Pelodiscus sinensis: one gene and its partners. The protein of the gene in region 1 interacts with the protein of each later gene in a pairwise test. Links are inferred from orthologs where the notes say so. Each region holds a gene or a part of one and is shown in the gene's direction. Other genes may lie near its edges. The genes, in order: DAXX, ETS1, PARK7 and BTBD6.

The links.
Region 2: the proteins of DAXX (region 1) and ETS1 interact in binary tests that used the Homo sapiens proteins (3 or more experiments, as listed by UniProt). The link is inferred for Pelodiscus sinensis from reciprocal best matches to the Homo sapiens genes DAXX and ETS1.
Region 3: the proteins of DAXX (region 1) and PARK7 interact in binary tests that used the Homo sapiens proteins (3 or more experiments, as listed by UniProt). The link is inferred for Pelodiscus sinensis from reciprocal best matches to the Homo sapiens genes DAXX and PARK7.
Region 4: the proteins of DAXX (region 1) and BTBD6 interact in a two-hybrid assay, tested with the Homo sapiens proteins (2 studies listed by BioGRID and IntAct). The link is inferred for Pelodiscus sinensis from reciprocal best matches to the Homo sapiens genes DAXX and BTBD6.

What each region holds. Positions count from the first base shown.
Region 1 is NW_027465970.1:5,380-12,515, forward strand, and holds the start of DAXX (death domain-associated protein 6), read left to right. Parts: upstream 1-4,133; 5' UTR 4,134-4,237; coding exon 4,238-4,450; intron 4,451-4,777; coding exon 4,778-5,089; intron 5,090-7,136. Other genes in the region: kinesin-like protein KIFC1, read left to right, coding at 100-267, 349-487, 642-781, 1,020-1,093, 1,235-1,310, 1,461-1,505. UniProt on the Homo sapiens protein: Transcription corepressor known to repress transcriptional potential of several sumoylated transcription factors. Down-regulates basal and activated transcription.
Region 2 is NC_134736.1:10,752,158-10,759,804, reverse strand, and holds the start of ETS1 (protein C-ets-1), read left to right. Parts: upstream 1-4,635; 5' UTR 4,636-4,764; intron 4,765-7,647. UniProt on the Homo sapiens protein: Transcription factor. Directly controls the expression of cytokine and chemokine genes in a wide variety of different cellular contexts. May control the differentiation, survival and proliferation of lymphoid cells.
Region 3 is NC_134733.1:25,745,467-25,752,780, forward strand, and holds the start of PARK7 (Parkinson disease protein 7), read left to right. Parts: upstream 1-4,306; 5' UTR 4,307-4,446; exon of another isoform or gene 4,447-4,510; intron 4,511-7,314. UniProt on the Homo sapiens protein: Multifunctional protein with controversial molecular function which plays an important role in cell protection against oxidative stress and cell death acting as oxidative stress sensor and redox-sensitive chaperone and protease.
Region 4 is NC_134714.1:16,046,040-16,053,722, reverse strand, and holds the start of BTBD6 (BTB/POZ domain-containing protein 6), read left to right. Parts: upstream 1-4,663; 5' UTR 4,664-5,434; coding exon 5,435-5,811; intron 5,812-6,324; coding exon 6,325-6,415; intron 6,416-6,660; coding exon 6,661-6,779; intron 6,780-7,008; coding exon 7,009-7,683. UniProt on the Homo sapiens protein: Adapter protein for the cul3 E3 ubiquitin-protein ligase complex. Involved in late neuronal development and muscle formation.

The sequences.
Region 1 (7,136 bases):
CTGGCCTTTGTGTCTACCCCCCGAATCCTGGCAGCATCCCTGGTTCCACACCTGTTCTCATGACACTGATCTGGATTTTGTTTCCCACCCACACCTCAGTACCATTTCACAGCCAACTTCTTGGAGATCTATAATGAGTCGCTGCGGGACCTACTGGTGGGACGGCCGGAGCGGAGTGCCGAACTGGAGATCAAACGGGTCAGCCAGAGCAGTGAAGAGCTGCATGTGCCCAACCTGCGCTATGTGCCCGTGAACTCCGAGGATGAGGTGAGCTAAGATGTAGCTATGCTTGAGCCAGAGAGCTTGGGAGCAGTTCTGACCCCTGCAAACACATCCTGTATCCCCCAGGTGCTGAAGCTACTGCGAACAGCCAAGGCCAACCGCTCTGTGGCAAAGACAGCTTTAAATGACCACTCCTCCCGCAGCCACAGCCTTTTCCAGCTACGCATCGAGGGCTGGAACCCAAGCCGGGACTTGCACAGTAGCTGTGAGTGGGGCAGGAGGAGGCTGGGGCAGCTAAACAATAACTTGAAAGCAGAGCTTGAGGAGATTGGTTGGCAGGACCACTTGGGGTCAGCAGCCTTACTGGATGGAGTGCCCTTTCGCCTGTCCCATGTTCAGTCCCTCATCTTTCATTGCAGCGGTGCTAAGCCTGGTGGATCTGGCAGGCAGTGAGCGACTGGACAAGTCCTTCTCCAAGGGGGAGCGGCTGAAGGAGACCCAAGCCATCAACACTAGCCTCTCTACCTTGGGATTGGTCATCATGGCACTTTCTAACAAGGTAACAGCTCAGATATCCCATGCACCATTAGCAGCAGCCTCCCTGGCCCAGTAGTCATAGTGTTGAAGACAGTGACACATACCACATACGTGCATCACAATCCAAATACTGGTCCTCCCTGTATCTGCTCTCTCCCTGACTGGGAGAGGGGAGCCACAGAGAGGTGGAGGCCTGTCTGAAGTACATGCTATGGAATCTCCCTGGCCAGAGGACCAACATGCCTCTTCCCACTCTGCAGGAGCCCCATATACCTTACCGGAACAGTAAGCTCACCTACCTGCTGCAGAACTCGCTGGGGGGAAACTCTAAGATGTGAGTAACATTGGGGGGGCAGTGGGAATAATAGGGTGAGGGGCAGGGCTATGGGGCAGGATGGGGTGGGAGTTGAAGAACAGGGCTGGGACAGCAGATAATGGGCTTCTGCTCTAACTTCTGCCTTTCCCATGCCCCCAGGCTGATGTTTGTGAACATCTCCCCCCTGGAGGAGAACTTCTCAGAGTCTCTCAACTCTCTGCGCTTTGCCAGCAAAGTGAGTTTGTGTGGTGGGGCGGGGAGAGGAGGGGAGAACTGAACCAAAGGGAAGGGGGTTGTTTGTGTTACATCCCCCCCAGTGTCACTGCTGTCTGGCAGTGGTGTATCCCCTGTTCCCTCCCCCACTTTCACTTCTCTCCCTTTGCAGGTGAATGAATGTGTCATCGGGACAGCCCATGTGAACAGGAAGTGAGCACCGGAAGCTGTAGCGGAGGGGGGGAGGAGATGCTCTTGGTTTTTAATAGTGGTATGGAGTGTGGGGGGGAGTGTCTTGTAAATAAAACATGTTTTGCAGCTGCTGGCTGTGTGGGGGACAGGGTGAGGGGCAGTGTGTGGGGGGGAAGGTTGTCTGATGTGGTTGCCAGCTGGGCCTTGGCTGAAGTGCTGGCAGCTAGACCATGAGCCTCCTGTCCCACCTCCTGCGCCTCAGTGGTCAGCCCCTCTCTACCTCCCCCAGCGACGATGGGGGTGGGGGAATAACAGCTGTTCATGTTCACGCCACCGGCCGCCCACCCAGCCACCCACTCTCCGCACCTTCCCTTACACGCCAGCGATCTGCTACGGGCGCATCGATGATCGCTTCCCCTTCCATACGCGGCCTCTGGGGGCCGCCATCGTGTACGGCATACAGGCTGCTGACGGTAACCCGGAAGTAGCTGCAGCGACGAGGGAAGACTTGTGGCGTACGGAACAACCACGCATGCGTGGAAGGGGCATGCCGTAGGCTACCGAGCCGGGGTGCCATCTCGGTGTCTGCTGCACATGCGCAAACGCCACTGTCAGATGCCATCTTGTCACTCGGCTGTCTTCAGACCGCGCGTGCGCACTAAGTGGGTGGCGTGCTAGAATTGTGCTGTCCGTGTTGTGCGACTTCCCCTCGGGTTCAGCCCGGCCTCTCCTTCAGGGGCGCCCGGAGGGAATAGAATAACTCAGCACCCCTATAAATGGAATGGAACAGGCCAACCAGCTCCTTGCAGGGGTGGGCTCTTTAATTGATTCCAGGCCTCTGGCTGGCGAAATAAGGTCACGTGGCGTAAGAGAGCGAAGGTATTTTCCGTACAGGAAAATGGCCGCTACCATGGGAGTGTAGCGTAGGGGCCGTAGACGAAGGCGATAACTACGACTGGACGGCGTCACGTCATGGGCGTGACGCCAGACCGGAAGCAGCGCCCAGTTCTGATTGGACCCGAGATCCGGAACCCTTCTCCGTGCGCCGCAATGGTGGCGCCCAGTGGTGAGAGGGCCACTTCCGGCGCTGCGCAGTCCGGGCGGCAGGGGAAGGCGGTTTTTCCGGTGCTGGGCTTCGGCGGAGAAAGCAGCCCAAGAGGCGGGTGAGCGCGCGGGGGCGGGGGGGCCTGGTGCGCGGGGCAGGGCTGGGGGGCTTGGCGTGGGGCGGGGCGGGGCAAGGAGTGGGGGAGGGGAATCAGGGCTGGGGGGCTTGGCGCGGGGCGGGGCAAGGAGTGGGGGAGGGGAATCAGGGCTGGGGGGCTTGGCGTGGGGCGGGGCAAGGAGTGGGGGAGGGGAATCAGGGCTGGGGGCTTGGCGTGGGGCGGGGCGGGGCAAGGAGGGGAATCAGGGCTGGGGGCTGGGCGTGGGGCGGGGCGGGGCAAGGAGGGGAATCAGGGCTGGGGGCTTGGCGTGGGGGAGGGGCGGGGCAAGGAGGGGAATCAGGGCTGGGGGCTTGGCGTGGGGCGGGGCGGGGCAAGGAGTGGGGGAGGGGAATCAGGGCTGGGGGGCTTGGCGTGGGGCGGGGCGGGGCAAGGAGTGGGGGAGGGGAATCAGGGCTGGGGGGCTTGGCGTGGGGCGGGGCGGGGCAAGGAGTGGGGGAGGGGAATCAGGGCTGGGGGGCTTGGCGTGGGGCGGGGCAAGGAGTGGGGGAGGGGAATCAGGGCTGGGGGGCTTGGCGTGAGGCGGGGCAAGGAGGGGAATCAGGGCTGGGGGCTTGGCGTGGGGGAGGGGCGGGGCAAGGAGGGGAATCAGGGCTGGGGGCTTGGCGTGGGGGTGGGGCTGAGGGAGGGGCGGGGCAAGGAGGGGAATCAGGGCTGGGGGCTTGGCGTGGGGGTGGGGCTGAGGGAGGGGCGGGGCAAGGAGGGGAATCAGGGCTGGGGGGGTGGGGCTGAGGGGGGCAGAGCAAGGAGAGGGGGGAGGGGAAGCATGGTGGTGGGACTGAGGGAGGGTCAGGGCAAATGGGGGTGGGGGCCTGGCAGGAGTGGGGGGCAGCCCATCAATCTGGGATGGGGGGGTGTATAATCAGTGGCCTGGAGCTCCTAGCCTGACACTTGCTCTTAGGGTGGCTGCCCCCTGGGATGTGGAAACCTGGGAGTGTGGTAGGAGCACAGGGGATACTTTCCTTCTGCACCAGCCCTGGTGCCACTGCTGCTAGCATCGTGGGCCCAGCTCTGCAGCCCACAGTTCAGGATGGATGTGGCAAAACTGGAGCCACAGGAAGGGCTGGAAAACCAGGGTCCAGGAGTTCCAGCTGTTTAGCTTTGGGAGGAGACCATGAATGGAGTGTCTTGGTAACAGGCTCTGGGTGCCTCCATACAAGCCAATAGAGTCTTCAGTGTAGTGGAGGAAGATCTGCCAGGACCAAAGGGCTGGGACTTGAAGGGAGATCCATTCAGTTGGCAGTAACGGACACGTTTGTACCTTGAGGGCCAGACCCAGGGGAGTAGTCTCCCTGGGCGTGGGCCAGTGTTTGATCGGAATTGGATGTTGGCTGACAACTCTGCCCCAGGAGCCGTGTGGGGGAAGTTGTGTTCTGAGGATCACAGCTGTCCCTCTTGGCAGTGTGTGAGTGCCAAGACTGGGGGCAGTGCTGGGCAGGGCTGGGGGGAGCTGAGCAGACACTTCCTTGGTACTCGGGTGGGGAGAGACTGTATCCAGTCTGTCTTGCTGTTCTTGACCTGGGCAGATGGTTTGTCCATGCTCAGTTCTGAGGTGTGTCCCCCACCTTGCAGCTGTCAAAATAATACATCATGTGGGAGATATTGTGTATGTCCTTATTCTTCCACCCCTGTTTTCCTTTGGTTTGGAGGCCCAAGGCAGGAGATTGCTGGGGGGGGGGAGGGGCACCCTTTGGTGTCGTCAGAGAGATCCCAGGAGCAGTGCTTGGAAGATAGAGCCTCCATAAGCCAGGTATCTTGGACCCTTGTCTGCATGCTGGGACTCTGTACGGGGTGGGTACGATGCCTGTGCCTCTGGGGGGTGTAAAGTCTGCCGATGGTGATTTAGGAAGAGTACTCGGCAGGCAGGGGGAGGTTGGGATCTGGGATGGCACAGGATAGAGGCTGTGTATGAGGCTGCAGGGAGAGGCAGGCGCTGGATTCCAGGATGGTGGCTCTAGGACAAACTCTGGTTCCTGGCTGGGACACGGGAGTAGAATTGGCATTGGGGGTGGGTGCTGCGCATGGGGTGAAGAAGAGATGTAGGGACCAGCACTCACCAATTCATCTCCCCACATAGGCACTGCGGCGTGTGACTCAGACCACCTGCACCGGGGGTTACTCCCCATACCTGCCCCCAGGATGCGCCCAGCCCTCAGGCCTGCCCCGCAGCTCTGAGCCCCAACTTGGCCAGGTACCTGCGCCCATGGCCACTGCAGTGGCAAGCAACATCATTGTCCTGGATGATGAGGAGGAGGGGCTGCCCCCAGCTACGTCTCCAGAGCCCACCCCTGCCTCCCCCCAGCCCAGCGGGGCCTCAGACAAGAGACCAGAGCCTGTGACGCAGGATGGTGGCAGCTTCAAGGCTGAGAACGAGCGGCTCTTTGAGGAGGTGAGAGCCCTTGGCAGGGCCCCACCCTCCATGTATCGCCTAACTCCTCAGCCATGTCCTCGTGTATCCCTTCTCCATATTCTCTGCCCAGCTCAGCCAGCCAGGCCCCGCCTCTGGGGCTGTATGGGAACTGATGCCCCTAGAGTGCCCCATTTTCCTCGCCAGCCAGCCTGGGGGGCTTGGGGTGTATGGTCTGTCGGGCCTAAGTCTGCTGGACTGACCCTGCCTGGTCGGTGAGTCTGAGCCCGGCCCACTCCTCACTCTTGAGAAAAGGGCTTGGCAGGGAGGCGCATGGGGCCCACGACGCAGGCAGTCCATCGCTTGTGGCCTCTGTGAGGACTGAGAGCAGCTCTTCAGGGCTGACGCAGCTGTGGGGAGGGGGCTCTTCTCCAGTGCCTGGAGCTGGGCCTGTGAAGCAAGGTCCTGTCCCTCCAGCCACTCATGGGATGGGGCCAAGCCCTCTCTCCGGAGCTGGGTCTGCTCCCCAAAGAGCCCTGAGACATGGCCTTGCTGCCCTGGGCTATGACACTGCCTCCCCGACCATGTCTGTGTCCTGCGGGACCCCCACTGTCCATGTGACCGTGTCTGTGCCCTTTGGGGCCCACCCCTGCCGTCTGTGCGGAACCCCCCCCGCCATCTCTGTGACCGTGTTTGTCCTGTGAGCCCCCCCTTGTTGTCTGTGTGACGTGTCTGTGTCCTTTGGGCCCCCCCCCGCCATCTCTGTGACCGTGTTTGTCCTGTGAGCCCCCCTTGTTGTGTGTGTGACCGTGTCTGTGTCCTTTGGCCCCCCCCGCCATCTCTGTGACCGTGTTTGTCCTGTGAGCCCCCCTTGTTGTCTGTGTGACCGTGTCTGTGTCCTTTGGGGCCCCCCGCCATCTCTGTGACCGTGTTTGTCCTGTGAGCCCCCCCTTGTTGTCTGTGTGACGTGTCTGTGTCCTTTGGGCCCCCCCCGCCATCTCTGTGACCGTGTTTGTCCTGTGAGCCCCCCTTGTTGTGTGTGTGACCGTGTCTGTGTCCTTTGGCCCCCCCCGCCATCTCTGTGACAGTGTTTGTCCTGTGAGCCCCCCCTTGTTGTCTGTGTGACCGTGTCTGTGTCCTTTGGCCCCCCCCGCCATCTCTGTGACCGTGTTTGTCCTGTGAGCCCCCCTTGTTGTCTGTGTGACGTGTCTGTGTCCTTTGGGCCCCCCCCCGCCATCTCTGTGACCGTGTTTGTCCTGTGAGCCCCCCTTGTTGTGTGTGTGACGTGTCTGTGTCCTTTGGGCCCCCCCCCGCCATCTCTGTGACCGTGTTTGTCCTGTGAGCCCCCCTTGTTGTCTGTGTGACCGTGTCTGTGTCCTTTGGGGCCCCCCCGCCATCTCTGTGACAGTGTTTGTCCTGTGAGCCCCCCCTTGTTGTGTGTGTGACCGTGTCTGTGTCCTTTGGGGCCCCCCCGCCATCTCTGTGACAGTGTTTGTCCTGTGAGCCCCCCCTTGTTGTGTGTGTGACGTGTCTGTGTCCTTTGGGGCCCCCCCGCCATCTCTGTGACCGTGTTTGTCCTGTGAGCCCCCCCTTGTTGTCTGTGTGACGTGTCTGTGTCCTTTGGGGCCCCCCCGCCATCTCTGTGACAGTGTTTGTCCTGTGAGCCCCCCCTTGTTGTGTGTGTGACGTGTCTGTGTCCTTTGGGGCCCCCCCGCCATCTCTGTGACAGTGTTTGTCCTGTGAGCCCCCCTTGTTGTGTGTGTGACCGTGTCTGTGTCCTTTGGGGCCCCCCCGCCATCTCTGTGACCGTGTTTGTCCTGTGAGCCCCCCCTTGTTGTCTGTGTGACCGTGTCTGTGTCCTTTGGGCCCCCCCCCGCCATCTCTGTGACCGTGTTTGTCCTGTGAGCCCCCCCTTGTTGTGTGTGTGACCGTGTCTGTGTCCTTTGGGCCCCCCCCGCCATCTCTGTGACAGTGTTTGTCCTGTGAGCCCCCCCTTGTTGTCTGTGTGACGTGTCTGTGTCCTTTGGGGCCCCCCGCCATCTCTGTGACCGTGTTTGTCCTGTGAGCCCCCCTTGTTGTGTATGTGACC
Region 2 (7,647 bases), on another chromosome or scaffold:
ATGCTCTCTTTTGGAAGACGTTTTTTCGGAAGAGCTCTTTCAAAAAAGCTTCTTTTGAAAGAAGTCTGCAGTCTAGACGTACCCTGAAGGATTTTAGCCATAGTCAAGGGATGATTCATCCCTGCTGCTAGGGTACTCAAAGGGAATTTTGCTAGTACTCAGCACCTTCCAAAATCAGACCCTCAGGGTTTCTTCTGGCTCCCCCCTGGAGGCAATGGGCTTCACATGGGAGAAGGATCATTGGGATCCTGTGAAGTGCTGAGCACCCTCCATTTTCCTGACTTCCTAGAGCATTGCAGGATCAGGCCCTGCATATTTAGGACATGTCTAGACACTGGGGCTATTTTAGGATACCAGAAGTATCCCGAAAGAGCAATTCCGCATCTTTAAATGCACCCGTGATTTTGAAATATATTTTGAAATAACAGACATGCTATTCCGGCATCTCTGTAACCTCATTCCATGAGGGTTAAGGGATTTGTCAGAATAGCGCTTTATTTCAAAATTTGGCACTGTGTAGACAGCTCCAAATTTTGAAATAAGCTATTGCTTATTGCTTATTTGTCACAGCCCAGGAATACTTTCGGGATCGTGCCAGCCAGTGGTGCATAGCGTCTGCTCGACCAAAGGGCCTGCTACCCTCTTCTCCTTACGGCATTGTTTCATTCTCGTGCAGGCTGCCGGTGCCTCATGCAGCAAAGCCACGCCTCTCTTGGAGGACATGCCAGCTGAGGATCCAGCCCATTCTCCTCTGGGGAACTCCTTCCAATCGCATTCTCTGTGGGGAGGAAATTGCGTAGCTTATTTCGAGGTAAGGGTGCTATGTAGACGCACCCGTAAAGGCCTTGGGAATGGGTACTAGAAAAATTAAACAAATGTCTGACTAAAACCAATAGAGATTTTTTTTGTGCCCAATACTCAAGAACCCTTAAGCAAAACCAAAAAAAGGCTCTGCAGAATATTGATGTGGATATTCATTTTTGAGACACTGTCATGAATTAGTATCTTGATTAGTGATTACTGCTCATTAAATGCTGACACAGCATATGGCTCTGTGCCACGTACAGAATAGATGGAGCCTTGAAGCCCATCAGTGGTAGAGGGCTATCTGTACTTCCTTTTTCTTGCTTTGAAAGATGGACTTGTGGCTAAACAGTAGGCTATTACTTAGTGGAGTTGGGTTCAGTGCTAGATTCAGTCAGGTTTTCTCTATGAGTTTGTGTTTAACATTAAGCTACCTGCAAAAAAGGAATTATAATATTCCCTTTGTCTATTTAGATTGAAAACTTTTTAGAACAGGCACTGGTTCTGCCTAGTTATATGTACAATGCCAGGCACAATAGGACCATGCTCCCATTTGTGGCCTCTAGATGCTACTGTTAATATAAATAATCAATTGCTATAGTTAAATAAACTCTCATTCCCCCACACCTTAAAGACATCTTGTTTGCAGCTGCCATCATCCTCCAGCCTCGGGAAGAGATGCCCAGATTACACTTTGATTGTTGGATATATGCCATTCTTATTGGCTCAGATTTGAAAGAGCCTTTTTTTTTATCAAAGTCCAGCAGACTGGGTTCCTTCCTTAGAATATGGAACCCTGTAAATGATTTCCCGGACTAAAATAGCTGCAAGAATGATGCATTCCTTATGACTGTGAGTTCCACAGATAATGTGCCATCAAGACACCTGTTGTCTCATATTTCTCAGTAATGCAGGGAAGGGCTAAAATGGAACCCCTTAGAATTTGAGGGGCTAGGTGAGATGTTGGATTTGAGGCTTAAAACCCCAAAGGAGCTGATCTTCTGATTCCTCTTGGTAAACCTGAAATCTCATGGTTCCAATTGTCTTCATGGGACCTCGGCCCAAGAGGGTGGAAATCTTTTGAGATCAGCAGATTTCTAGAATTTATTCATTATTTAGAGAAACTTCACCCATAAGTTTAAAAAAATCAACAAATTATGGGGGCCTGATTTAAAAGGTATTTAGGTGACTAAAGATGCAGATAGAAAACCCTACTCGGTACCTATTGTAGATACTAAAATATCTTCATAAATCTGTTCCTGTATGTATTTGAACAAACAGCCCCTCCTAGAAGCAGGGATTCCAGAAGAGCATGAGATGCCGTAAAGTCCACGAGGAACTTCACTTTGCATATTTAATTCCCTGGAAAGCGATTAGGTGCTACGGTGATGGATGCCATGAAACACATAGGCTACGTCTACATTGCAATGTTATTTCAGGATACCAGAGTATGCCGAAATAGCTACCCGTGTCATCACAGAAATCCTGTTATTTTGAAATATAATGGGCACGCTATTCCGACATCCCTGCAAACCTTGTTCCACGAGGAGTAAGGGACTTTTTGGAATAGCGGGTTATTTTGAAATTTGGTGCTGTGTAGACAGCACCAAATTACGAAATAAGCTATTTCAAAATAAGATTGAAATAAGGTACACTGCACACATGTGCCATGTCACGAGGGTATTTACTCAGATTGGGCATAGCTCTTATTTCGAGCTACTGTGCAGTGTAGCTGCACCCCTGGGCTACGTCTACACTGGCCCCTTTTCCGGAAGGGGCATGTAAATTTCATGAGTCGTAGTAGGGAAATGCGCGGGGGATTTAAATATCCCCCACGGCATTTAAATAAAAATGTCCGCCGCTTTTTTCCGGCTTTTAAAAAAGCCGGAAAAGAGCATCTAGACTGGCCCCGATCCTCCGGAAAAAGCGCCCTTTTCCGGAGGCTCTTATTCCTACTTCAAAGGAAGGAATAAGAGCCTCCGGAAAAGGGCGCTTTTTCCGGAGGATCGGGGCCAGTGTAGACGCTCTTTTCCGGCTTTTTTAAAAGCCGGAAAAAAGCGGCGGACATTTTTATTTAAATGCCGCGGGGGATATTTAAATCCCCCGCGCATTTCCCTACTACGACTCATGAAATTTACATGCCCCTTCCGGAAAAGGGGCCAGTGTAGACGTAGCCCTATAGATAAACTTTTTTCCCTGAATAATTTCTGCAAAAGAATGCTTGATCTGCAGCTTGATCTCATTCAGTTTGTCGTGAGCATGCAATATTCAGGCTGCTTTGACTGGACACCTGGGTCACATGACATATTTCAGTTTCCTGACTGGATAATGATTAACTGTAAATTCTAAATTCATTTCCTATGAGTATTAAAATTTGCCACTTCTGAAATTGTTCTAGCAAGTAAATTGTCTAGAGATTTTCCACAGGAAACTGATAATAGGCCCATAGACTTTAACGCCAGAAGGAACCATCATGAGCATCTGGTCTTAAATCCAGCATATTGCAGGCCACAGAACCCCACCTGCTAGGGTTGCCTGATGTCCGGTTTTGAACCGGACAGATCGGTATTTGAGGGCTCTCTTTGGGAAACAAATTGAGAAATACTGGACATATAAAACGTCTGGTATTTTCTACTTAGGTAAGTTCATTATTATTAGCAGTATCCGTACGTAGTTGCGAACTGCCTGTGTGAGTGTGTCTACCAGCCAGGCAATACACAACTACGTGAGGGTGGGGCAGGGCCGGGGCGAGATGGAATCCCCACGGCCGGATTTGCTCGTGCTTCGCTGGGACCGAGCGCAGGACAGGCAGCGCTCTGGGATCTGTGCGCGCCTGGGTCAGCCCTATTCTCTTCCCCTGCTTTCTCCCCCTTCAGCCAGCCCCACTCTCGCCAGCCCTGCTCCCCGCTGGTTGGTTCTCCCCTGGCCAGCCTCGCTGCCCCCGACCCCCTCTACAAGCCCTGCTTGCCACCGGCTTGATCTGAGATCAAGTGTGCTTGGTATTTTTTTTGGAAGCCACCTGGTAACCCTATCACCCGCCCACTCCTGCAACAAGCCCATATAACTCGTGTCTGTCAGTAGAGGCATCCTCGAATCGTGATGTAAAGACTTCAAGTGACAGAGAATCCACCATTTACTCTAGTTCTTATCAGCAAGTGACCCTTGCCCCATGCTGCAGAGGAAGCCCTCCCCTCTCCCGACTCCAGGTCTCTGCTGGTCTGAGCAGGGGAGAAATTCCTTCCCAACCTCAAATCTGGCAGTCAGTTAGAGACTGAGCAAGGGGGCAAGACTCACAGGAAAGAACTGTCTGTAGTAAAAATCTATTCCGTCCACATTGAATTCCTTATATTAATGCCCGTTATCATGGTATTGGAACATAAGTGAAGAAAATTCACTTAAGAATTCCAATGTGGAAATGTGTCGCTAGGTACATTCAGCCAGTCCCCCCGCCTCATGGAGGGACGCATTAATACTTCCCAGTGACGATGTGATACTTAACCAACTAATACTTGGAAAGTGCTTGGAGATCCTCAGCTAATTTGTTTTATTAAATTATATAAAGGCTTCACAAATCACTGAAGGCAAATATCACAATCCCTCTCCCTGGGACAGATTCTGACAGAGGCTTTCTCCGACTCTTGTGAACACAAGTGGGAATTTAACATGCTCACATTGTGGGTAGTCACATCTGGCAGTAGTGGCTTCACTAGCTTCCCTTCCCTGCTGCTGGTGCTGTGTCAGAGCTTAATTCAAAGCTAGCCCTTTCCAGCCGCCCTGGGTTTGCTGTCCTGACCACACCCCCTTTCTATTTGATAGGCGGCCCCGCTAGAAACATTATGGTATTTCCATCCTCTTTAGCTCTAGTGCAGAGAATTTCACCAGGTAGTTGGCAAGAGACCTAAGACAAGTGTGGGAAGCTGTGGAGGAAACAACTCTTTTCTCTGGTCTTTCAGTAAAGTAGTAAGTGAAGCTCTGGACTCTATGCTAAACTCTACCTTATGTTGATTTTCAGGCTATTTACTTTGCTGGTGACCTGCTAGGATATTTACTCCTTCTCTTTTCATTAGCAATTTCACCTAGCTGATTTGAAATATATCTATTTGCTGATTCCATCTGGGTGTGTTTAGGGTCCTTTGAAATGTTTTTTGTATTAAATGAGGTTAAGGTAATATTGGTGCTTTACTTGTGTGGGGTGGAAAGTTGCCTCTTGGCATGATTAGTGAACCTGTATTGGAACAAGTTACAATGAAAGACAGACTAGTCAAGATTATTTTTGTTAATTTGGTGTATTTTTGTTGTTGTTCAGTGGGTTAAAGAGTTTTCTTCCACAGTGGAGGGGGCGAATCAGCAAAATGTTTAGTGCCAAACTTTCATCTGGTGTAAATCAGTGCAACTCCACTGACTTTTGTAGAGAAGCTGATTCCACCAGCTAATAATTTGGCCATTTCTGTCTTTGTAGGAAACATTGCTTGTACCCCTCCTTTCCCCCTTACATTACTGGAAAAAAACAAATGTAACACAGACATGTACCAGCTTTGGTTCTTTGCTTCTGAAAGCAGCTGAAGTTGGGAACAGTGAAAACACTTTATCCGTGCAAGGATTTCAATTCCACATCATGCAGGATGGAATCCTACATCCTTTGCAAAACCAGCCTTCCCGCTGGCTCTCTGGAACTCACTGGGAGCTTTGAGCCTCTGCTAAATGCAGAGTCAGGTCTTCCATGTTTCCATTAGTCTTTAATTTGATGCTTTGCATGTGGCCACTAATTTGCTATTAAGGTCCCATTGACTCTGACTCTGCCATCTGATACCTTCAGGGAGAGGGGGTGGGCTGCAGAAGGGGTTTACTGGTGAGTATTTATTCCATGCTGATTTTATTATGTTTTTGATCTCCCCCCTCCCCCTTGTCATTTTAAAAAACTTTCTACTAAAGCAAGTTTGGTGTTACATGGGAACATTTGCTTTAAACAACAGGAAATGCTGGCCCAAGCACAGATTGCTGAGTGGCTTTGATTTTTATTATAAAAGTCTTGGTGCTGAAAGAGTTTAACCAGTTATGGCTCAGAGCTCTCCTGGCCAGATTGCTTCGAGATGTTTATCTTTGGTACTTACACAGGCACCTTGCAACCTTTGAGCCTCACAATATAGCTAGATTCATAGATTCCAAAGCTAGAAAGGACCACTGTGATCATCTAATCTGATCTCTGGTATAACCCAGGCCAGAGAACTTCCCCCAAATGATCCCTAGAGCAGAACCTTTAGAAAACCATCCCATCTTGGTTTAAATATTGTCACTGATGGAGAACCCAATTATGACCCTTTGTAATTAACCAATGAAACAATTGAGCCTCACCCTTAAAAATCAGTCTTTGTCTAGCTTCAGCTTACAGCTGTTGGCTCATGCTGTATCTTTCTCTGCTAGACTGAAGAGCCCATTATTAAATATTTGTTTCCCATCCATGTACTGTCACCAAGTTTACCATCTATGTACTGTCACCCCTATACCTTTCTCTTTGTTAAGCTCAATGGTCTGAGAACCTTGAGCCTGACATGCTGAGGTTTTCTTCCCCATCCTTTAATCATTCTGGTGGTTCTTCTCTGAACCCACCCCCAATATACCAACCTCCCTCTCAAATTGCATCAGACCTAGACACCATATTGCAGTTGTACCAGTTGGCTTTTAGCTCAGAGGGTAGAGTTTTCTATACTCAGCTTCAGAGGTCCTAGGTTCAAATCCACCTGGTGATGGTTACACAAATACAGAGGTAACAAAGACTTTTTCTGCTCCCACTTGAGACTCCTGTTAGATGTATTTAAGTGCCTAGAGATGCTGAGTGCCTCATTCGTGGGAGTCAATTGCTCTCAAAAGTCTCACTTTTAAATTTCCACAAAATGCCTTGAGGCATTTCAATACATCTAACCATCTGGCTCAAGGTGACTTGCTCCAGCTCTGTGGCAGCATAGCAAACTGGACATAGGTTCTTCACATTCCAGGATAGCCACCTTCCCCACTGGGCCATTTTCCTTAGCATTTCAACAGCTGCTGAAAACGAACCTAGCTCCACAAAAGAACTACGTCAATTTACACCAGCTGCAGATTTGACCCAGGATGCTTTTTCAACCAACTGTTTCATTGCTGGAAACACTGGCGTGGAATAACAAATGACCTCACTCTCCCTGTCCCAGCCCCAGCCCCCTCTGCATCTTCCTGCAATTTCATATATAGCAGCTGCAAAAGATGTAACAGCAGCAACCTCTTTGGGTTAGGTGCCTGCCTAATCAGCAAAGTGTTTGGCTAGCGTTGGGTGCCCCTGAAATGACCTCCAGCTGTCAGTTTACCAACTGGCTTGCAGTGCTGTTAATGGGGCCACTATTCAAATCAAATTAGGGAATTAGCTGCCGAGAAGTAATTTTGTCAAAGGCTAATGAGGTAGGTATAGAATCTGAGAATTCTTAACCAGAAGGCACTTTTCCCAAAAATGGGGGCAGGGAGTGGGGGAAGGGTTGTGTGCCAGCATTAGCTCATCTTGGCTTAAGTTAAGAGTCCAATTTGTTCTGTAGGGAGTGCAAGGTATTACGGTGCCACAAACATTGCTTAAGTTGTAGCTCCCTACTGCAATAACTACCTTACTCTGCATGAGAAGATTGTATGAACCTTCCCTTCAGGAACCTCTCTGTGGTGGAAAAACCTGCTGAAGTCAACCAACTGACATAATCATTTCATATTGTAGTGTTTGACATAGGAGAGTGGGAGTCAAGATACCAGGTTCTACCCATGACAACTCACTAAATTGCTATTTGGCCTTGGTCAAGTCATTTAATCTTTGTTTATCAGAAGTGTCAT
Region 3 (7,314 bases), on another chromosome or scaffold:
CTAATATTTGGATGCATGTATGCCCTGCCAATCAGCATTATATGTAAGTTACTGCCTAAATAAAATAGCCTCCAAGCATGAAGAGCAAGGTATGATACAAAGGTTACATCTAGACTACATGCCTCTGGCGACAGAGGCATGTAGTCTAGACGTACCCAAAGTCCCAGAGGGGTAGCCATATTAATCTGTATTTGCAAAAACAATGAGGAGTCCTGTGGCACCTTAGAGACCAAGGGTACGTCTAGACAGCAACACTATTTTGGGATATGTCCGGTATCCCAAAATAGCATTTTCTGTGTCTTAACAGAATGCCCATTATTTCAAAATGCAATCGAAACAACGGGCTTGCTATTCCGATGTACCGGTAAGCCTCGTTCTAGGAGGATTAAGGGACTTGTCAGAATAGCTGTCTATTTCAAAATTGGCACTATCTTGAAATAAGCTCGAAATAAGCTATGCAATTTGTGTAGCTCAAATTGCATAACTTATTTCGAGTTAGCGCTGCTGTGTAGACACACCATAACAGATTTATTAGTGCATAAGCTTTCATAGGTAAAACCCACTTCATCAGATGAATTGGAATAGAAATAAAGAGGAAGGTGGATGTGTCTCATTCAATAATTGATTTAAAAGCAGCCATCCTTCTACAAAAAAGACTTTAAAACCCAATTAAAAAGGGAGACTGCTCAACTGGATTTCATTTGCAAGTTCAATACAATCAATTTGGAATTGAATAAGGATCTTAACTGGTTAACACACTTCAAAGGCAATTTCCCCTCTTGATATTCACATCTCCACATAAAATGCTGCAAATGAGATACACCCACCCTGACATAAATCCTTATGAACATTGGTCATACATTTGACAAGTAACTTCTTTTGTTGTTCTTACATATACCCCTGCTTCTATTATTTCCACTCCAACTCATCTGATGAAGTGGGTTTTACCCACAAAAGCTTATGCCCTAATAAATCTGTTAGTCTCTAAGGTGCCACAGTACTCCTCAAGGTTTGAGACAGTACACACCACTTGTAGCTCATACAGGGCAGTGTTTTGCTATGAGTGTTTGACAGTTGACTGGGAAATCCCATGAACTGCATCACAGAAATTCAGCGGTGGGAGTGTTAATCACTTAATAGGTTGTTAACAGCCCCCATAACATTAAAATTATCATCATGAATTTTAACCTGTTCTCAAACGAAGAAAAATGAAGACGTCAGAACTATGATAAATTTAACTACGACTGATCTCAATTTCTGAATGACATTTTGTGGGCTGCAGTGTGACCCTTCATACAGAAATGAAACAGCTGATTTCCCATCACTAGGTTTAGCACATTTTTCTATGCAACAGCAGGACAGACTTAAGTGCATTGTGACAGCAAAAGTAAATCGAATAAACTTAATTTTACTAATTATATGTACATAACTGAAGATAATTATTACAGAACCATCATTGTTCATCATGTTTGGGATTACATGAGTTTAATGTGAATATTAATAGTAATTTACACCCACTATGCTGTGTCAGAATTAGTTCCGAACAATAATACTTTGCAATTACTTATTGCTCCTTAGACTAAATTCTGCCCTGATTTTCAGTCAATTGGGGTTGGTTCAATAAAAGATTTCACCTATCTTGCCTCAGTCAATGTAATGTAAGAACTTGGTCCTGCATTTTGAAAGTCCCAAGCCTTAGCCAACTGAAACGAAAAGTGGAAAGTGCTATAAAAATATAAACTAACATAAAGGAAAATTTTCAAGTAATTGATTTTATAGGGAATTTTCTAGCAGGTTTACTCTTCTTCTAAGGAAGTGAACAAAGGGATGCTCCTTAGAATTTCCAAGATAAATTAAAAAAAATTCATATAACAAGACTTCTCTCTCATGAAACAAGCACTTGACCATACACACAAAAATGTGGACACAGTTTGTTTTCAGCTGCTGTTTCTTCTGAGTTAAATTAATGATTTTAGAGTAGTGACCAATTTAGATGTTACAGGGTAATAATGGAAGGCTTCCAGAAATAATTTAACTGAGGAAAGGAAAAAGTCTGCTTCAGAACAGAATAAACATTATCATCATCAGGTTCCTGGAGTAGTATTAATACCTTCTCTGGAAGGGAGGGTTAGTGCTACCCTATATTAATTGCTCTGTGGAAGGTTAATTCTGTCCCCTATTAATCCTGTGCTGGAGTGGGTTGCAGATATCAGGGATTAGCTGTGACCCTATTGATGCCAACTGGGGGCAGTGGGGTGCTGGTGCTGTATAATGATGCTAACTTGAGGGCTGTGTGGAATCTATTGATTCTGTAGGGGTTAGTGCTGACCAGTGCTACTGAAGCCAACATGGAGGCAATGCATATCTATCTCTTATAGATTGGGAGGTAGTGCTGATCCATACTGATGCCAGTTCAGTAGCAGTATGGACCAGGTTCTTATGGATTTGGCAAAGGGTGAGTGCTGACCATTGCCACTGATGCTAATGTAGGGGCAATGCATATTGGTTCCCTATGGATTGGGGATAGTATTGACCCCCCATTAATGGCATGACAGCCTCCTATGGATTGGAGGTAATACTGACCTTGACTGTCGGTACCCTACCAGTACCCTATGGATGGGGCAGCGCTATCCCCTGTTGCGGGCACACTGGTCCTTATGGATGAGGATAGTGCTGTCCCCACCTGAGGGTATGCGGGGCCCTATGGATGGGGCAGCGCTGTCCCCTACTGAGGGCACACTGGTTCTTATGGATGAGGATAGCACTGTCCCCACCTGAGGGTATGCGGGGCCCCTATGGATGGGGCAGCGCTGTCCCCTGTTGCGGGCACACTGGTCCTTATGGATGAGGATAGTGCTGTCCCCACCTGAGGGTATGCGGGGCCCCTATGGATGGGGCAGCACTGTCCCCTATTGAGGGCACACTGGTCCTTATGGATGAGGATAGTGCTGTCCCCACCTGAGGGTATGCGGGGCCCCTATGGATGGGGCAGCACTGTCCCCTATTGAGGGCACACTGGTCCTTATGGATGAGGATAGCGCTGTCCCCACCTGAGGGTATGCGGGGCCCTATGGATGGGGCAGCGCTGTCCCCTGTTGCGGGCACACTGGTCCTTATGGATGAGGATAGCGCTGTCCCCTATTGAGGGTATGCGGGGCCCTATGGATGGGGCAGCGCTGTCCCCACCTGAGGGTATGCGGGCCCCTATGGATGGGGCAGCGCTGTCCCCTATTGCGGGCACACTGGTCCTTATGGATGAGGATAGCGCTGTCCCCTATTGAGGGTATGCGGGGCCCTATGGATGGGGCAGCGCTGTCCCCACCTGAGGGTATGCGGGGCCCTATGGATGGGGCAGCGCTGTCCCCTATTGAGGGCATGCGGGGCCCTATGGATGAGGATAGCGCTGTCCCCTATTGAGGGTATGCGGGGCCCTATGGATGAGGATAGTGCTGTCCCCTATTGAGGGTATGCGGGGCCCTATGGATGGGGCAGCGCTGTCCCCTATTGAGGGTATGCGGGGCCCTATGGATGGGGCAGCGCTGTCCCCTATTGAGGGCATGCGGGGCCCTATGGATGGGGCAGCGCTGTCCCCTATTGAGGGCATGCGGGGCCCTATGGATGAGGATAGTGCTGTCCCCTATTGAGGGTATGCGGGGCCCTATGGATGAGGATAGCGCTGTCCCCTATTGCGGGCACACTGGTCCCTATGGATGGGGCAGCGCTGTCCCCTATTGAGGGCATGCGGGGCCCTATGGATGGGGCAGCGCTGTCCCCTATTGAGGGCATGCGGGGCCCTATGGATGAGGATAGCGCTGTCCCCTATTGAGGGTATGCGGGGCCCTATGGATGGGGCAGCGCTGTCCCCTATTGAGGGCACACTGGTCCCTATGGATGAGGATAGCGCTGTCCCCTATTGCGGGCACACTGGACTCTGTGGTGCCAGCCCCCATGGACGGGGGCGGAGCCGGCCCCTGTAGCGGCTCGCGGAAGCCCCGCCCACTGCAGCCCCTGAGGATTCCCCGGGCGGGCCGAGCAGTCCCCCTCCCCCCGCCTGACTGCGTGAGGGGGCGTGGCTGCTGCGGAGGTGGTGTGACTCGAGCACGCTGCTGACGTCACTATCGCCCCCTCCCCTCCATGCCCTGCCGCGGGCCCGTCGGCGCCCCCTCTCCTGCAAAGGTCACGCGCTTCCTGGCAGCGGCCGGCCGTTATCAGCCGCGTGAAGGGCGCGAGCCGCCCCGCGGCCTGACGTGCGCGCGCTCCTCGCTGGCAGCAGCCCGGGACTGCGGCGGGCCGAGCGCCCCTCCCCCCTCGGCGGCGGCCTGCGCGGTCCTGCCGCCAGCTCGGAAACACGGGGCCCGTCAGAGACTAACCGCTTGGGGCACCCCGCCCCCGGGACAAGGAGCCCGCGCGCCGACCCGGGCAGGGTCGCTCCCTCCGGAATCTCCGGTCAGTCAGCGCTGCGGGGTCACGTGCGCACGCATGATGCGGAGTGTTGCAACCGGACAGCCTCTCCTACTTCCCCATTCCGTTAATCCCGCGAGTTACCGCTGCAGAGCCACAGCCAGCAGCGTGACCCCGCCGCGGGGGCCGGCCCTTGGGCTGGGTAACCCGTAGGGAGAGAAGCGGAGCCGTGTCAGGCTGGGGCAGCTGGACAATGCAGCACTGTAAAGACTAACACGATGGTTTATTAGGTGATGAGCTTTCGTGGGCCAGACCCACTTCCTCAGAGCAAATAGTGGAAGAAAGTAGTCACAGCCATATACACCAAAGGATACAATTAAAAAATGAACACACATGAAAAGGACAAGTCACATTCCTTTTCATGTGTGTTCATTTTTTTAATTGTACCCTTTGGTATATATGGTCAGGCCAATTTTCTTCCACTACTTGATCTGAGGAAGTGGGTCTGGCCCACGAAAGCTCGTCACCTAATAAACCATCTTGTTAGTCTTTACAGTGCTACATTAACCCATAGGGGTCTAGGATGGCTGTAGGCAGGTAATTAAGGACTTCAGCCACAGCATTACCCTTGAACATGTTTTTTCCCTTTGTTTCTACAGTCTGGAAAGATAGATTTAGAGTCCCCTTATGCTTCCTGATTTATAAACATGCTCATTTTGTATCTGAGAAAAATCAATAAGTATGCAATTACTCTTTGTTGTGCCTTTTACTTACTTACCCTCACTGGTGCTATATAAGAGATTTTCAGAGCTACATCTCTTGTAATCGCTGTAGCCTATTGATTTGGAAAGTTTGTAGCATAGGAAAGTGTTGATTTAATTAGAAATTCTGGAAATAGTAATCAGGGGCAGGTATTATAATATTCATCACCTGCTTATTAATATTCTTTTTTGTAGGCATTAACATTACTATTAAGGTTTTAGGGAAAGTAGTGATAGATGTGTGAATTAACATACTAAAATAGTTAAAAGGGTGTAATGGGTGCCAAAAACTGTTGCAGCTCAGATGTTGTGTTGAATGTCTGAGGTAAACATGTGTTTGGGCAATAAAGTGATTCCATTTATCTCATCTGCTCCTGGGTCACCTGTGGCTTCTCTAACACAACCCACTTCTTCAGATGAATGGAGTTTAAGGGGTCCAGTTTCCAAATAAATAGCAGAGAAAGAGAGGGGATGGGAAAGGAAAGGAGGAAAAAAATGGGAAAATGTCATGTCCATGCTAAATTGAGCCAAACTATGGAAAGGAAGGTTTCTGAAACTTCAAAGTTAATGCACAAATAAAATCACTTCTATCCATCAACCAAATAATAAGGATTTAAAAAAATAATTAACTCTGACCTTACATCACCACCCTTAGAAAACTAGAAACCAGGAATCCATACAGTCTTTAACCAATTGAAATTTTAATTGTATGGGTGATTCAGAAATCTGAGATAAGAGCTAAATAATCTATCTTTCTCATGTATTGATGTATAACTGTAGCAATGTAGTGCACCAGCATTGAAATGCTGGTAAGAGATGTTCACCACTCTACATCGTTATAGCAAACCAGCCTAAATGGCTTTAAAATTGTGCATGTCTTCTGATATAACAACTTCTGTATCTCTTTGCCATAAAGTTGCCACAAGACAATTGTTCTGACAGGCTGTGTCTACACTGGCACCTTTTTCCGGAAATGCTTAAAACGGAACAGTTTTCCGTTATAAGTATTTCCGGAAAAAGAGCGTCTACATTGGCAGGATGCTTTTCCAGAAAAGCCCTTTGGCCACGGACGCTTTTCCGGAAAATGTAGACGCGCTTTTCCGGAAAAAAGCCCCGATCGTCATTTTCGCGATCGGGGCTTTTTTGTGGAAAAACCTACTGTGCTGTCTACAGTGGCCCTTTTCCGGAACAGTTTTCCGGAAAAAGGACTTTTGCCCGAGTGGGAGCAGCATAGTTTTTCCGGAAAAGCAGCTGATTTCTTACAGTAAATCGTCGCTGCTTTTCTGGAAATTCAAGCGGCTGCTTTTCTGGAATAAGTGGCCCAGTGTAGACACAGCCACAGTATGTGGGGTTTTTCAAATGTAAAAGCATTTTCATTATGTAAAGATATCCATAACTGGGAATACCAATCTCTTAATGGTCAGGCTAAAAAAAGTCTGCTCCAAGTTCCAAAGTCCGATGGCTCGATTGCCCAACTACCCAGCTCAGTGAACAATAATGCGATATTAATCTCATGATCATAACTTTCACTGTTATGAGTCCCTGGAAAGGTCTTTGCTCATGTTCTAATTAGTCAACTAGTCCTTCACATCCCTATCTGATAAACATTTGCTTATCAGATAGTTGACAGGATAGTCGACTAGTCACTCCTTCCTTTGCCTCCCCTCCCCCCGCTGCCTCTATCAGATAGAGGTAGCAAAAGGGGGGGAGAAGAGGGGGCACTTCAAAGAAGCAGTGCAACTTGAAGCCTGGGACCAGACCTCAGGTTCCACGTGACGCTGCCACTTTGAAAAGCTGCATGCAGCCTAGGGCAGGCTGGGGTGTCCCCAGGCTGCACATGGTGTTTCAAAGAGGCAGCGCCGTGTGGAGCCTGGGATGAGAGTGGGGGGGGGGGAGTCCCCAGCTGGCCCCAGGCTTCATGTGGCTCTGCCGCTTTGAAACACCATGGGGAGTCTGGCCTCAGACTCCTCGTGGCATTTCAAAGTGGTAGTGTTGTGTGGAGCCTGGGATCAGCTGGAGACTCCCCAGCTGACCCTGGCTCTGTGCAGTGCTTCCGCTTTGAAACACTGCAGGGCATTCAGTGTCAGGTTCCTTACAACGTTTCAAAGCGGCAGCACCGCACAGAGTCTGGGGTCAGCAGGGAAGTCCCCAG
Region 4 (7,683 bases), on another chromosome or scaffold:
CAGGACTGAGGGATCATTTAGATCCAAACATTTTAACGTTCACTGGTATAACAACATGTATATTAGCTTATGTATCTTTGTACCTAATTGAAAATTACCCTTTCAAACACAATGAGTCTGTTTAAAAACAAAACATTACTACAAAAAATCTACATGTATCTCCAAACGTAACCAGCTACTTTTCCTTAATCAAAATTCTAATCACAGATTCATGCTCCAGCAATGCAAAAAGTTGTTCATCACGCACATTAGAGCCCATGTAAAATGTCATTGACTTCAATGAAGCTAAGATTATTTACACCTAATGAGTATCTGCTCTTCAATGTATAATTTCAAATTTTAGTATTATCAGCAGCAGTCTAATAAAACAGCAAACCGCTGTCTGTCTGGGTAGTTGCTTTACCTAACCTAAACCAATTTTTAGTTTATCAAACAATATTTTAAAAGCTATGCTCTATGTATGTTTACTCTCTTTTTCTGGGGGGTATCAATTCCTCATTTCCTGCCAGCCTCTTATCACTTGACCCAAAATCTATGGGATATGGTAAATTGTTAACTGTTACACTCAATTCAATTTCCTTAGATGATTCCCCATTTGGGCACTTGAACTGATGAAGATGGTATTTCTGCTGAAAAAAAATTCAATTGTCTTACAGATTTGCATTAATCAAACCAGTTTCAATTTTACCATTAAGGTCAAATAATGGATACCCTATTGCAATTTCCATTTACCAGGATTGCACTACATACTGACAGACTTTCAGACTCTCGATTTAAAACACTGCATATTTTACTTTAACGCAAAAACATCCAGACAAATATTTTTCCCCAAAGAAAAAGTTTACAAAATGCAATTACCTAGTAAACATGATTATAAAAAATAAAACAAAATAGAAATATTAACTCCTTAAAGGCAATTAGTAAGGAAACCAAGTCATTCCCACTGTTCTCCAGTCATCATCCATATCACATGTAATATCCTGGACTTCTAATTGTATGTATTTTAAGGTACCTATCACCAAAATCTGAAAGAACACGCTAGGGAAATCAACTTTCAAATCCTTCAATTAAAATAAAACAACCATCATGATAAAGGTGTTTCAAAACTATTGTCTCATTTCTTTAAAAAAAAAAATCTATAGTTAACAAAAAACTAAAGAATTGTAAGTCAAACAATACAAAATAACTCTTTAAAGTAAAAACAAATTTCCCTAGTTTTTTAAATTTCCAATTTCCCTTTTACAATATTCCTAAACAACAAACATATTATGATAATGAGCTGGCAACTTCAAAATCTTCCCAGATTTACTTGGCAAGGTTTATACAAAAGGGGTCAACTTCAGTGGGAGCTGGGCCACTCATCACCTCAAAGAATCAAAGCTTCAAATAAGGGGAGGATTTTTTTTTATTTTAAATTCTTCAATGCACTTTTTCTCTATAATTTCTGTATTGTAGCTTTTAAGGAAATTATGTTGGCATTGATGCCCACAGATTATTTGATAAACTAGTTTACGCTAGATATTATTAATTTAAATCTTTAAAACTAGGAAAACAATTGGGATCTTGAAAAGTAGCAAATGCAAATTACGTAAGCAAAAATAAAAATTGAACAGAAAAGCTCTCCACCAACTGGCTGACCATAAATGGCTGCAATGCAATACTTGGAGTATCAAAATTAAACTAAGTCTAGGGCTTTTCCTTATTTTCTCAGCCTCTTAATTTTCACATATTGCGCAGGACACAGCACACCAACACCACTTGGGGGATGTTCCACTCGCCAAGGTCCAGCCAGGTGAGGAGGCAATGGAGCCCCCCACCTTTGAGATGCACGAAGGCGCCCTCCACCACCATGTGAACTCAGCTGAGCCTAGTGTTACACTGTTCCGTGGCAGGCTCCAGGTGTCCAGTGCAGGGCTTCATAAGCCATGGGAGCAGAGGGTAGGCAGTGTCCCCGACTATGCACATAGACATGTCCACATCCCCCATCCTGATGGTGCAGTCAGGGGAAAAAGTAATGGCGTGCATCTTTTGGAACAGGCTGGATTTCCTAAAGACATGGGCATCGTGCTTTCCCCAACCATCCAACATTAATGTCCGTGAAGCAACCCTGGTGGTCCACGACAGCCTGCAGGACCATAGAAATGTATCCCTTGTGGTTAATGTAGTCGGGTGCCAGGAGGCATACCTGGGAGGTCGACAAATGCCTTTGATGTCGACCGCGGAGCGTCCAGACTTCCGCGCTGAGCCGACAAACAGCTGATCAGCTCAGCGCAGCAGCCATGTAAATTTAAATGAAGCAGCAATTATTTAAATCGCCGCTTCATTTTTCTATACCGGGTAGTCTAATATACATGTCTCTGTCGCCAGAGGCATGTTGTCTAGACATACCCCAGGAGACACATTGTGAAATCCAAGAGCTGGTGACTGCTTTCCAGCAGGTTCCGCTCCATGGCAGAAGTGCTGTAGTGTCCACAAGAGCAACCAGAGTAGGCAGTGGAACGGGTTTGCTGTCCCTCAAGGAGGTAGGCAAAAGAGAGGAGCCTGGGACACAGCTATGGGGGGGGGGGGGGGGTGAGGAGAGAGAGAGGCACAAGCCTCAGCTAACCTCAAGCACAAGCCTCAGCTAACCTCAAGAAGCAGACACAGGAAGTGTCCTGATGCCCTGCCCACAGCGATTCCAGGGGACTTTAAATGCAATTGAGGCTCCAATGGGTATGAAAGCTCTACTTGGAAATAGCTCAGCATTATTTCAACAGGCATTTGCTGTGTAGACACACTATTTCGAAATAAGCTATTTCAGAGTTTTTCTTCTGAAATAGCTTATTCCAAAATAAGCATGCAGTGTAGATGTACCCTATACAGAACCCTGTGGACTTCAGGGGGAATTCCATGCATTTGCAGGGCCATTCTCAGTGCAGCAGCTTGAAGGATCAGGGCAAAAGCTAACAGTTTTGTTTATTTATGCTGCTAATCAGTGTGCACTCAGAAAGAACTTCATACACTTGAGAAAGTTCCCCCCACACCCTTCCTTCCTAGCCTACCTTTATAGGACACCTCAGCTTTCAAAATTATTAGGATGAAAAAATGCAAGACTCGTTTGATCATACAAAACAGAGTGTATAAAGGTATGTGTGGCCTGTGAACAATTGCTGCAATACCCTGTGCTTCTGGATGTTAATAACATAACACTTCCAGAAATCGCTTGTTTCTCTACAATCCGACACCAGGGCAAAACCCACCGAAAAAAAGGATAAAACTCAAACAGACACTCTCAGGAGCCGGAGTGTCAGCCTAGGAGCAGAAGGCCTGTAGCTGAGGAAACAACCAACAGGTTGAGAATTTAACCTAAAGCAAACTGTCCACCAGTTGCCTTTCCTACTGCAACCCCACTCTTACATACTTGGGGAGTATGCACGATACCTTAGCTTCCACTAATCCGAATTTAGCCCAAAGGTCTGCTACAGCGCTGAATATCCCTCTTTGCTTTTACCCCCGGCGCAGCTTAATGTCTTGTCTGTACTCCTGTTCCTCCTAAAAGTTCAAACGCTGGAGGCAGAACTGGCCTGACAGCAAGCAGCTTTGCGCGAAAGGCGGCTGCAGAAGGCCTCGGGGCGCCCTCGCTCGGTCCGGCTGAGAACTACTGGCTGCCCAGCAACAGGATCTCAGACCCAGCCCCCTCCCGGTTTCCAACCATTTCCATAATCATGGCTTCTGACTCCATGGAGCAGCCTGCCGTGCAAACTTTCCCAGCTCGGTGTGGGCGGAGGGACGCCTGGTGAGGGCAGCAGGTACAGTAACTCTGACTTTTTGTGTGGTCTGGGACCGGCTGGGTCCCTGCAAGATCCCCATCCTCTCCCTTGGCAGCGGCGGCAGCAGCTGAGTTCCAAACTGCAGTGCTGCTGTGCCTCTGCGTGGCATTTCTGCCTGGATTGCTAGGGCTCCCACTCTGCAACATGTCAGACTTGCTCTGCTGCTGCAAGTAACGCCCGGGGTCCGAAAGAAAACAAAAGCCCCGCAGGCTCTTGTGTACACGGGCTGGGGGTGGGGAGAGGGAGAGGGAGAGGGAAGCGGCTTTCAGGAAGAAAAGTCGCTCCGATCGGGAGCTCTGCCCCATCTGTTTACTGCCTTCCTGATTCACCTTGGCTTAGCATCAAAGCCCGAGACCAGCCAAGCTGAGAGCTGCTCTCGGGAGGGGGAGGCGCACCGGGGAAGACGCTGCAGCGGGGAGGACAGGGGGGGCTTTCGGGGAAGTTTAACGCAGACTGCGAATCTCCCGTGGGTCTGGGTTTACTTTTGCAGAGGGCTGGAGGGAAGTTGGCGGAGTAGGTCCCCACTGCACCAGGAAGGGAGGGGGCTAGTGGAAAGCGGGGGGGGGGGGTGAATGTTGGGGCATCGCTGCGTTTTGCTCCATTGCAGCCTTTCCTGGGCGGTACATTTTGGCTCCCTGTAATTTTCCCAAGCGGCTGGGGCTCGGGAGGGAGCGAGGGGGGCGAGCTGGTGGGTGAGTAGGAGGGAACGGAGAAGAATGACATATTGTCTGGGAAGGGAGGGAGCCCGGCCTCCCCGGGGCCCGGGCCCCGCCGCTCCCCATTGGAGCAGGCGGCGTGACGCGCGGGGCCGCGGCTGGCTATTTGAGGCAGGAGGCGGGGGGAAGCAGGCACACGCACACACACACACCCCGAGGAGTCGCGCACACGCGTGCTGACACGGGCGCCCAGCCCCGCTGCTGGCTGAAGCTGCCGGGCTGCAGAACCGCAGCCGCGCAGGAAGGGAGGGAGGCGGCAGCGCCTGCTACTCGCCGGGGAGACGTGCCGATCGGCCCTGGCCTTTCAGACGCATCCTCCGGCCACGGTCGCTGCGCTGGGCACGGACCCTCACCCCGGGGGCATCTAAGCAGAACTGAACCTGGGAAAGTTTTGTTCCACTAGCAGATCGGCGGGATTTACCGCATCTGCAGCCCCTCGTCTGAGGAGGAATTACAAGATGCGTACTGGGAACTGAAGGCAGCGTTTGTTCGGCCCTTGTTTAAATACCGTGGCTGGGAAACTCTTGAACTTGCTGGTCTCTCCAGATCTTTAACCCTTGCACGGGAAAAGGATTCGAGTTGCCTCTCAAAGAGGTATCAGTGATTGGCAGCAGCTCAGCGCTGGCTGGGTTTTAACTCTTGGAAGATTTCTGTATTGACTCTGCTGCTTCTCCTTTTCGGTAAACTCTTTGCCTGCATGATCCCTGCTGGGGTCTTCCTTTGCAATCCTGCCTTTGATCTTTGAGGCTGGGACCTTCTTCAAGCAAAGGTGAGCACTGGCTCGGATTCATTAGGGCACCGTATTGCCTCACAGACAAGGTGCTTTGGGCTTTTGAGCAAAAGCCGCAGTTTAAAATCATAAGTATCCAGGTAAAGGGACCTGACTTTAGAAAAGCTGTTCCCTTGCTCATGCCACTGCCCCATGACTGCCTCAATGGCAGGATCATGAAGTGTTTGACTTTCTTTCTTCTGCTTCCAGAGACCTTAAAGAAGTCCAAAAAGAGTGTGAGGTCAAACAGCAAGGTGCCAGCATGCTATGAGATAGTGCCCTTGTCCCTGAAGAAGAAGATGGCTGCAGAGCTTTACCCTGCCAGCACGAACACCAATATTGCAAACAGTAATAACGCTGCTGCTGCCACTGTCGCTGCTGCTGCCAACAGCAAGAAAAACGCCTTTCAGCTTCAGCAGAGTGCCCAGCCTCCTCCACCACCGCAACTGCAAAACCTTAACAATAATAATTTGGAGAGTTCCAACTGGCAGTCCTTCCACCCCACTCTGCGGGAGAGGTAAGAGCCAGACCAGCCAGAGTGCACAGAGCCTGCCTGAGCAGCCCTTGCTCTTCACCCCATCCCCCTCCCAGCCTGCAAGAGAACTTTGGGGAGTTAGTCCCATGGCAATTCCCCCTCCCTCTGGCAAAGGCACAGGATGGGTTGTTTAGCAACAAGCAGCCCTGTCCCCATGTCTCTTCTTCCTCCCCCCCATTGTTGGGTGAAGTCAGGTTTCTGAAGCCAAAAAACTGAATTGTAGCCTCACAGCCACAACACACATACACCCTAAGGTGGAGCAAGTTCAAGTATTGCAATTGCACACTGGCCACCTTCTGCCCTCAAGTCTCACTTGTGAAATCTTGCACAGTGAGAGAAGGTATCCCACTGTGTCCCATTATACCAGCTGTAGCAAGGGGATGGAGTAGAGGGACTGAAAAAAGGGATAGATTTATGTAGCATTAGCTCAGTCCGTGGCATCAGGTAATACAATTGGCAAATCTAATTTGGTTTCTCCCTTCCTGTTACTTTCAGGAACGCACTGATGTTCAATAACGAACTCATGGCTGATGTGCATTTTATCGTAGGTCCCTTGGGGGCCTCAAAGAAAGTTCCAGCCCATAAGGTTTGTGCATCTGATTTTTTTCTCCCCCCCCCCCCCCCCCCCTCCTCCTGCTAGGGCAGTGGAGTTAATACAAATATTATTAGACAAGTTAACTCAAATTATTCCTTTATACCTTAATTCTAATGGGACAATTTAAAGGATTTCTGTTTGAACTGAAGCTTTTAAGTTTCCCTCAGTACCTCTTCTGCCTGTTAGTATGAGATTACTACAGCTATATGCTACATTTTGTTTTTGTTTTTTAACAGTATGTTTTGGCAGTCGGTAGCTCTGTCTTCTATGCTATGTTTTATGGGGATCTTGCAGAGGTCAGATCTGAAATCCATATACCAGATGTGGAACCTGCAGCCTTTCTAATCTTATTAAAGTAAGTGGTCATTACAAGTCTACAAATTATACAGAGACTAAAAGTGGTTTATTTAAAAAAAAAATCTTTAAAATCTTCTAAACAGCCTTTAGGAATGTGCAGGTATTACACTTTATTAAATGTGCTGATAAATGTCAAATTATGGACATTACTACTTGTCAGGACAATTGTAGCTTAATCTCTCACAACCTATGTCGCTTTTAAAAATACTTTTTTTTTTCCTGTTTAGGTATATGTATAGTGATGAAATTGACCTGGAAGCTGACACAGTGCTTGCTACCTTGTATGCTGCCAAGAAGTATATCGTCCCAGCCTTAGCAAAGGCTTGCGTCAATTTTCTGGAGACTAGCTTAGAGGCTAAAAATGCTTGTGTTCTGCTGTCTCAGAGCAGACTCTTTGAGGAGCCAGAATTGACCCAGCGCTGCTGGGAAGTAATTGATGCTCAAGCAGAAATGGCATTGAAGTCAGAAGGCTTCTGTGAAATTGATCAACAAACACTTGAGATCATTGTAACCAGGGAAGCACTAAATACTAAGGAGGTGGTAGTTTTTGAGGCTGTTCTTAATTGGGCAGAGGCTGAATGCAAAAGACAAGGGCTACCAATTACACCAAGGAACAAGAGGAATGTATTAGGAAAAGCTTTATATTTGGTGCGAATTCCCACAATGACTTTGGAGGAGTTTGCCAATGGAGCTGCTCAATCTGATATCCTTACCCTTGAGGAAACGCATAATATATTCTTATGGTATACAGCTTCAAATAAACCCAAGCTAGACTTTCCACTGACAAAAAGGAAAGGACTTGTACCTCAAAGATGCCATCGATTTCAATCATCTGCATATCGTAGTAACCAATGGAGGTACAGAGGTCGCTGTGACAGTATCCAATTTGCTGTAGATAAAAG